2 linked regions of the Rattus norvegicus genome follow. The protein of the gene in region 2 interacts with the protein of the main gene of each other region in a pairwise test. Links are inferred from orthologs where the notes say so. Each region holds a gene or a part of one and is shown on either strand. Other genes may lie near its edges.

Region 1 (4,365 bases), on a different chromosome or scaffold from region 2:
ATTTTCTGAGACAGGGCCTTATCTTTACCTAGGCTGGCCTTACACCCATGGCAATTCTTTTGCCTCAGCCAGGCAGGATTACAGGTATAAACCACCACATCAGGCTATTTTAATTTCTTTCATTCGATTCTTCCTTGAGGGAATGTTTGTCAGTTCATTTGATTCTTACTTGAGGGGATGTTTTTCAATAAGGAATGCTGTTTAAATAAAAAAGTGAAATATTCCAGTTCTCTGGCAAAGTAGGAGAAATCAACTACGTGGACCAAACATGGAAGTCATTTACACAGAAAGCACACGCCCAGCAAGTGCAACTTAGGGTGGAGTTGATTCCAGCATTCACAAGGTCCTGGGCCAAAACAGAAAACCTCCACAGGGAAACTAGACTATGGGCGGCAGGACAAATGATCAGTTCTCGAAATGTTTGAATCTGCATCATAGGGTTGAACTGCGAGCCCACCTGCCTTGCCCACGGAGTTGAATTCTTTTTCTTATACTTCTTAAATCGGCTTCTTCTGGGGATACGTGAACTCTTATTGACTACAGTTCTCTACCGTAGCCTCCACAGTGACTTACGGGTGTGAGGCTATGGCACTGACACATTTATGCTACTCCCTCACTAATTAATCTTTAACCTCCGTTCCCCGTTGAGAAAATCCATGTAAGCTTACATGGAGCCCTACACATTTTGTAAGTACACTTCTAATCCCAGCACCTGGGAAGCGGAGCCAAGAAGAGGCATCGCAAATTAGAGGACATCCTTGATCAATAGAGTTCCAGGCCAGCATAAAGTGATAGACTAATTATCACAGGAGGGGAAGGGAAGAAAAAGTTGAACACGGTGAACCTAGAGCTCTAGCAATTTCCAAGACTCAAAACCAAAATGGAGTAGGGGAGACGGAGGATGGATGGACAGATTAAGATCTCTTCTTTATGCTGTATTTGAAGGTGGGTGTGAGCATGTACTACGGTACCGTTGTGGGGTCAGAAGACAACGTGTGGCAGTTGGTTCTCTCACCTTGTAGACCCTGACGATTGTATGCAGGTTGCCAGACTTGGTGGCTTTTACCTGCCAAGCCATCTCAACAACCTGAAGGAACGCCTTTGTTTTTTTTTTTTGTTTTTTTTTTTCCGGAGCTGGGGACCGAACCCAGGGCCTTGCACTTCCTAGGCAAGCGCTCTACCACTGAGCTAAATCCCCAACCGAAGGAACGCCTTTGAATACAGAAGATGGATTTTTTTTTTTTACATTGATAGTCTCCCTTCATATATGTCTGTGTCATATCCCCTAGAACTGGAGTTATGGACAGTTGCGAACTGCAGCGTGGGTCCTGGGATTTGTACCTGGGTCCTCTGGAAGCTGAGCAATCTTTAGAGCCCCAGAAAATGGTTCCTTTTTTGTGGCTGTTCTGAGGACCAGGCTGGCCTCAGATGCATAACACTCTTCCAGCCTTCCTCTCTCAAGTGCTAAGAGCACAGGCGCGAGCCACCAAATACAGCAGGACCTGTGTAAGGACCAGTTACCCCTGCTGATTTTTGCTTTGTTCTACCAGGCTGGACTCAAACTTTCTACAAAGCAGATGAGTTTGAGTTCCTCCTGCCTCTGCTTCCTGAGTGCTGCTACTTAGAGGCACAGTGTGCGCCTGCAGGGCCACTGCTCTACAGACAGGGAATCCCTAGTCGCTTAATGATGCGTTTCCGCCTTCTTTTTTGTTCTCTTTTCTTAACAAACAAAAAACAAAACAAAACAACAACAACAACAACAACAACAACACCCAAAAGGGGGGGCGGAGAAAAAGAGAAAACTCTTTACTTTCTAAGGAGTGGAGGGTCTTGTGCCTGCCACTCAGGAGCCCAACACCTGAACTACATCATTCTGCTCTGTCACCTCCATTATACTACTTAGGACTCATCAGGTCTTTAGCTAGAAAATAATCGACTCATTTTAATTTACTTTCCAAAATACAGCACTCTCCCAAAGATGCTGAAAGTTGCTAATTAGTAGAACCACAGTACTCTAGTTGAAAAAGATCACTGGATGCCATCTGCACGTCTTGTATTGTGTAAGAAAGTTCCTGAAGGAACCCTTCCGGAGACCGTAAGGAGTCTGTGACAGGTTTTCAGTCCAGAAGGCTAGGAACACATGCAGAAAGAAATCAAGACTGTCAGCAGCCGGCCACACCTAGGAATAGTTTTTGGAAAAGTAGACTCTGCTGAAAGCAATCTGCCCTGTTAAACCCGAGGAACCAGACAGAAGCACCCAGAACACCTACTATGAAGCAGATACAGGGCTACAAAACGCATTTCCAAGACCCGACAGGGCCCCATCCCTTACAACCCTCATCACTAGAACCAAAGGGAGCTGGGGGAATGAACGGCAGGGGAATGGTTAAACGGGAGCAATAGAAGGCATGGCACTAAGGGCTTTCCGACTTGATCCTGAAGGAGATGGAGAACTATCAGGAGTCTCTTAACAGTATTCGTGACTGTGACACGGCTGCGCACTGCGTGCCAAGTGCAGACTGGCAAGGAAGGGCAGCGCAAACCAAGTCAGACGATGGATGGGCCTAAGAGGCTGGGCAGCGGGCGCGCTGACGTGCGCAAGCGGGGCATGGCAATGGGTAGGGTAGACCCACGGAAACCGCCTAGTGAGGCTCAGGGTGAGGGTCCTGGGGCCGGCAGGGAGCGAAAGAGGAAGCGAGTAGCCGGCACGGCGCGCCTCTCCTGAGCGCCGCCGGCAGCCTCCGATGCCTCCCTCCTCCCAGCCTCCCCTGCTCGCCCGCTGACCGAAAGAGTTGAGAAAGTCCGAGATTTTCTTGATGCTGCTGGTGATGATCTCAATGTACTCCCGGTTCGCCCAGTCCTGGTGAATCTCTCGCTGCACCGGATCCTCTTGTCCCGCCATGGCGGCAGCCTGAGGAAGAGTGACTGCGCAGGCGCCGCGACCTCCACAGGCCTCCAACGCGCCTGCGCTGCCGCCGGCACCCAAGTGTTCGAGCCCCAGAAAGTCCTGGCATTGAGGCGCGCACGCGCAGACTAACTGTCTTCACCGTTCCAGTTTGGCTCCCACGCAGGGGAAAACAAGGCTCCTCCACTCGCACTGTGAAGACTGAGAGCTACCCTGTCCCCGCCTGCACAAACCCGCTGATCACTAGCGGGTCTTGTCGTTAGGGGACGCCCACACGCTCCTACCTCCACCTAGGGTTGCTCCAAGCTTTCTTGCGCTTTGTCAGCAGATTTGGCCACAGTCCACAAATCCCGTTCAAGATGCTTTTCATGCTTGGGTCACAACTCTGCTCATTCTCGTTTTCTTTTAAAATTGTTATTGTTGTTGTTTGTTTTTCGAGACAGGATCTCTCTGTGTAGTCCTGGCTGTCCCTAAACTCACTCTGTAAACCAGGTTGGTCTCGAACTCTGAGATCCACCTGCCTCTCCCTCCTGAGTGCTGGGAGTAAAGGTGTGGGCCACCACCGCCATGCTAAAATTTTTATTCATATTACGTGTGTGTAAGCGTACATGTGACACAACACGCAAGCAGAAGTTACAGGACAACTTTCAGGAGTTGGTTCCTTGCCTTCCATTTTCGGGTGGCAAGTGTCTTTATTAATCGAGGCATCCCACGGATTCTGAATCTCCATATTGACCAAATGAGCAAACTACATTTTTAATGCTAATGCCCAGCGATGGACAGGCTGAAGCAAAATGGTAAGTCTCAGTGTAAACTAGAGCAATTTCTATCAAGAACTGCAAAAGCAATCTCTAACCTTTCCACCGAGTCATTAAGAAAATCGTTAAAGGAAGTGGTCATCGCGCATGCTTGTAACTTCAGCACTCAAGAGACTGAGAGAAATACTTTAACCCTAAGAATTGGGCTTTGAGGTAGTGCCTGCTATAGTAATTGCAGTAAAGCTAAACAAAGGTGGAGTCAACCCTTGTGTGGTGGTTTCAATAGGTTTGGCCTATGTTTGAATACTTGACCCATGGGGAGTGGCTCTGTGAGGAGGTGTGGCCTTGTTGGAGTGGGCATGTCACTGTGGGTGTGAGCTTTGAGGTTTCCTAGTGTTCAAAGTCTGGCTGGTGTGGAATCAGAGCCTCCTCCTGGCTGTCTGCAGAAGACAGCCACCTCCTGACTGCCTTTAGATCAAGTTGGCCTGCTGGGTACCATGCTTTCCACCATGATGAAAATGGACTGAACCTTTGAAACTGTAAGCCAGCCCCAATTCAATGTTTGACTTTCTAAGCGTTTCCTTGTTATGGTGCCTCTTCACAGTGTTGGAAACCTTAACTGAGACACCTTTGTAGATCAGGCTGGTCTCAAACTCAGAGATTCACCTGCCTCTGCTTCTAGGGTGCTGGGATTAAAGGCAC
Region 2 (3,718 bases):
AGAGATCAGAAGTTACTCCAGGAAGCAGCACTAAGACCATACAGGTGAAGTTCAATGATCACCCCTGGGAAGGAACACACTGAGCAGTCAGAAGTTAGGCTGGGCCTCAGTTCCCTCAACAGACACAAGAATGCAAAGATGTTTGGGATGTCCTTAAAAGGGAGGGCCTTGGACTTGGGCCACCCAGGAAAGAGATGGGCCAAAGCCATTGTTTGGTAGGGGTATTTCCTATAGAGGGTCAATCCCAGCAGCTGGGGACCCAGCCCTTCTAGTCTGAAGGGAGTCGATACATTGTGGCTGCTGCCTGCTACGGTGTATCAACACTACTGTCTCCATGCAAGACAGCTAAAGAGCAGGAGTCAAGCTAAAGGACTGGTCTCAGAGGCTAAGACTACGTACTTCCTACTAGGAATGGAGAATCTCCTATCCTACAGTAGCCAGAGCCAGAAGTTCCCTTCTGCTCACCCAGAGCTCCCAAAGCTAGAGGACGTTCATGCAAACTAAGCACAGGCCGCTGAATGAAGACTTAATAACTCTCTGGGCTTATCTTTTCAAGCAAACGATACTTTTATTAACATGTAAGATTTTGTTTTCAACATGGTAAGGGTTTTGACCTCAAATGCTTATCAGGTCTGCCACACATTTATAGCTTGACTACATATGAACCTTGAAGACGCCTCTTCCTTGAAGTTTTGGGTCCATTGCAGGTTTTCCTTCTCAGTACACAAAGGGTATTGCAAGGATCTTTCATTTTACGCCCAGGATCTCCTCAAATATATGGGGATACCAACTTGTACAGACGAACAAGACCTCATCTCCCATACCGGGTTCCGTTTCATTTAAAAATGAGTTAGGCTGTCCCAACAAACTCATCAGGCAGGTTATAATAGATAGTGTAGCACATAAAATTTAAAATTTGCACAAAATACATCTCTCCTCCTTTGGTCTCACACAGAAATTAAAGTCCCCCCATAGAAACAATACAATCCTCCGACCCTTCTCCCAGGTCATCAGTCCTAGCCGTGTAAGGCCCATCCACAGTCCCAGATGAAGTCTGGGCCCTTCTTCTGCCATTGCTGCATGGAGTCCTCTTCTAGAATTAACGCAGCTTCTTCAGAACTTTCAGAGGCGGTGAGCTCCAACTCCAAGTCTCAAGTGTCACAGGGACCCAAAGTTCAGGGAGCTATCAGGTCACCCAAGAAAGAGCAAAGCACCTCAAAATTCAGGAACAACAACCAAAGCCCAGGAATGAACGTTATTCAACTGCCACAGGGCTTACAATCTAGGCCCTAATTCCCGTATGTGAGCGCATTTTCCAAATCAAAGTTATTTTCCCCAAACAAACAAAAAAAAAGGAACCACTGAATAATCAAAAACTCATATCGAGGTCGTCAACCGCAGACCATAGCAGAAACGTAGTGTCAGTGAGAACAGAGTGAAGACAGAGGGGAAAAGAAAAAAAAATAAAGAAAGAAAAAAGGAAAACAAAGGCTCTCTGGTTTCAGCTTCTCCAGGGTGTCATGTCAGCCAATCGCCATCACTCAACCAGAATCCATTGGCTGGAAACCTAAAGCACGGGCGGGAGAGATGCATCACCGAAAGGTTAATCACGCAGGACAGTAGAGCAAACACCCGGACCCTCCTGGAGATTGCCTTGCTCAGGGCCTCATGCTTTCCAGCACAATCTGGAATCTTCCAGGGTCTCCCCACCGACAATTTGCTATACACCTTCCCCAGAGGGGCCTAGTTTACTCCGGGGCGACAAGCCAGCCTCCTCCCCTCAGTCGCCCACGCCCCACCAGGCTCCCGCCCTTACCGCGGACGGCTCACGAAGACTCGCTCTTCTCTATCCGCCGCACGAGCTGCACCAGCATCTCGGCCATCTTCGCCATCTCCTGCGCCTTCTCGTCGGCCTTCTCCGCCCTGGGGCCGCGGGGCTCGGCGCCGCCCGCGCCCTGCAGGTGGTTGAGAGCGCTCTCCTCAGAGGCCTCTACCTGCGTCTTGATCTGGATCAGCATATTGTCCATCTCCCACAGCTTGCCCCGGTTGCGCACGGGCGCGCGTCCGCGCTCGCGCGTCAGCGACGCGATGTCCTCGCGCATCTCGTGGATGACGGGCAGCAGAAACTGCTCGAAGTCCTCCTCCGGCTCCAGCACCTCCACCTCCTCGGGCTCCGCCAGCTCCACTGCGTCCAGGGGCCGCATCTCCGCTGCTTTGCTTGTCTGCACGACACTCAGTGACCGAGCTCGGGCCGAGTCTTCAAAACTTCCGCCGCTGTTCCAACTTTCTGCCTCGGAGAAGCCACGGAGACGAGCGGCTGCGAAGCAGACGAGCGGCGAACAAAATGGAGTCCCAACCGTCAACCAGAGCTCTGCGCCTTGCGACCACTTTCACGACACAGCCGCGCCCCTCTTTACGGCCGCGGTGCGAGGTGCGGGCGCGCGCACGTCCATGAAGGGGCGGAGCAAGCGCCTCCGCGGCCGCGCGCAAACATCAGCTCGTCACACCTCTAAAGCTCTTGGTGATGCACTCTTCTCTGAATGATGCCAAGTTCACTCCTCATTGTTTCTTATTCTGATTTTATTTATTTACCTTTTGAAACAGGACCTCACGTTGTAGCAAGGCTGTCCTGGAACTCAATTATTTGGCTTAAACTGATCTTGAACTCTGAGCAATCTTCTTGCCGTACCTTCCCATGTCTGACAAATTTACTTTTAAAAAAAAAAGAAAGGAAGGAAGAAACGTAAAAGAACGAGCCTGCTTGCAATCCCAGCACCTGGGACGCAGAGGCCGGCAGATTGTTGAGTTTGAGGCCATTTTAGTGTACATAGTGAAATCCAGTAGTGAGACCCTGTTTCAAAACAAAACAAAATTAACAAGCAAACAATAACAAAAAACAGCTTTCCAAAACTGGGAAGGAGGAAAATTGGAAATCCACAGTGTGGACAGTCATACTGCTCATAGCTCCGCCTCTTGATTAATTTAAGTGTAATTATCTTATCTTGATTGATGAGTGCCTGGGTGTTTTTTACCAGACAGAGCTCCTGGCTTCCTGAGGTGAAACTATTGTCTGATGCGTTCTGAGGTCCCAGCTGACCCAAAGTTCAGTTGGTGATCACCTGATGTGGAAAGGACAGAAGTTGTCGTAGTCAAACAATTACTCAACACTGAACTTTAAGGGAAGATGCCGAATTCTTAGTCTCTTGATCAGACAGCACTTTCTCAAGAATATGAACCATGTATCTCGCTGGTTTTCCAACCAGGAGTCATGAAACCACTTTGCAAATACCAACCATAGGCATATTTAAAATGCATATCTTTAACTGGACTCTTCACACTCAGTGGCTTTTTTCAATTTATTTATTTATTTATTTATTTATTTATTTATTTATTCTACATAAGTAAATACATTGTAGCTGTCTTCAGACACACCAGAAGAGGGCATCTGATCCCATTACAGATGGTTGTGAGCCACCATGTGGTTGCTGGGAATTGAACTCAGGACTTCTGAAAGTAGTCAGTGCTCTTAACCACTGAGTCATCTCTCCAGCCCATATGTTCCGTGGCTTTTAATTTAAAAAAAAAAAATCCAGCCTTTAGGTTTTCTTGACAGCATGGAAGCTATTGCAATTAAGAACATGAATGAGAGTAAATGGTTCAGAGGACAGTGAGGTTCTGTTGCACGCTGCATTAGGATAGTTAGATTGCAGAACCCTGA

The links.
Region 1: the proteins of Mrfap1 (region 2) and Brk1 interact in binary tests that used the Homo sapiens proteins (3 or more experiments, as listed by UniProt). The link is inferred for Rattus norvegicus from reciprocal best matches to the Homo sapiens genes MRFAP1 and BRK1.

Annotation. Positions count from the first base shown.
Region 1 is NC_086022.1:148,304,994-148,309,358, reverse strand, and holds the start of Brk1 (protein BRICK1), read right to left. Parts: upstream 2,924-4,365; 5' UTR 2,903-2,923; coding exon 2,785-2,902; intron 1-2,784. UniProt on the Homo sapiens protein: Involved in regulation of actin and microtubule organization. Part of a WAVE complex that activates the Arp2/3 complex. As component of the WAVE1 complex, required for BDNF-NTRK2 endocytic trafficking and signaling from early endosomes.
Region 2 is NC_086032.1:78,225,833-78,229,550, reverse strand, and holds Mrfap1 (MORF4 family-associated protein 1), read right to left. Parts: upstream 2,327-3,718; 5' UTR 2,205-2,326; coding exon 1,827-2,204; 3' UTR 1,817-1,826; intron 1,568-1,816; 3' UTR 549-1,567; downstream 1-548.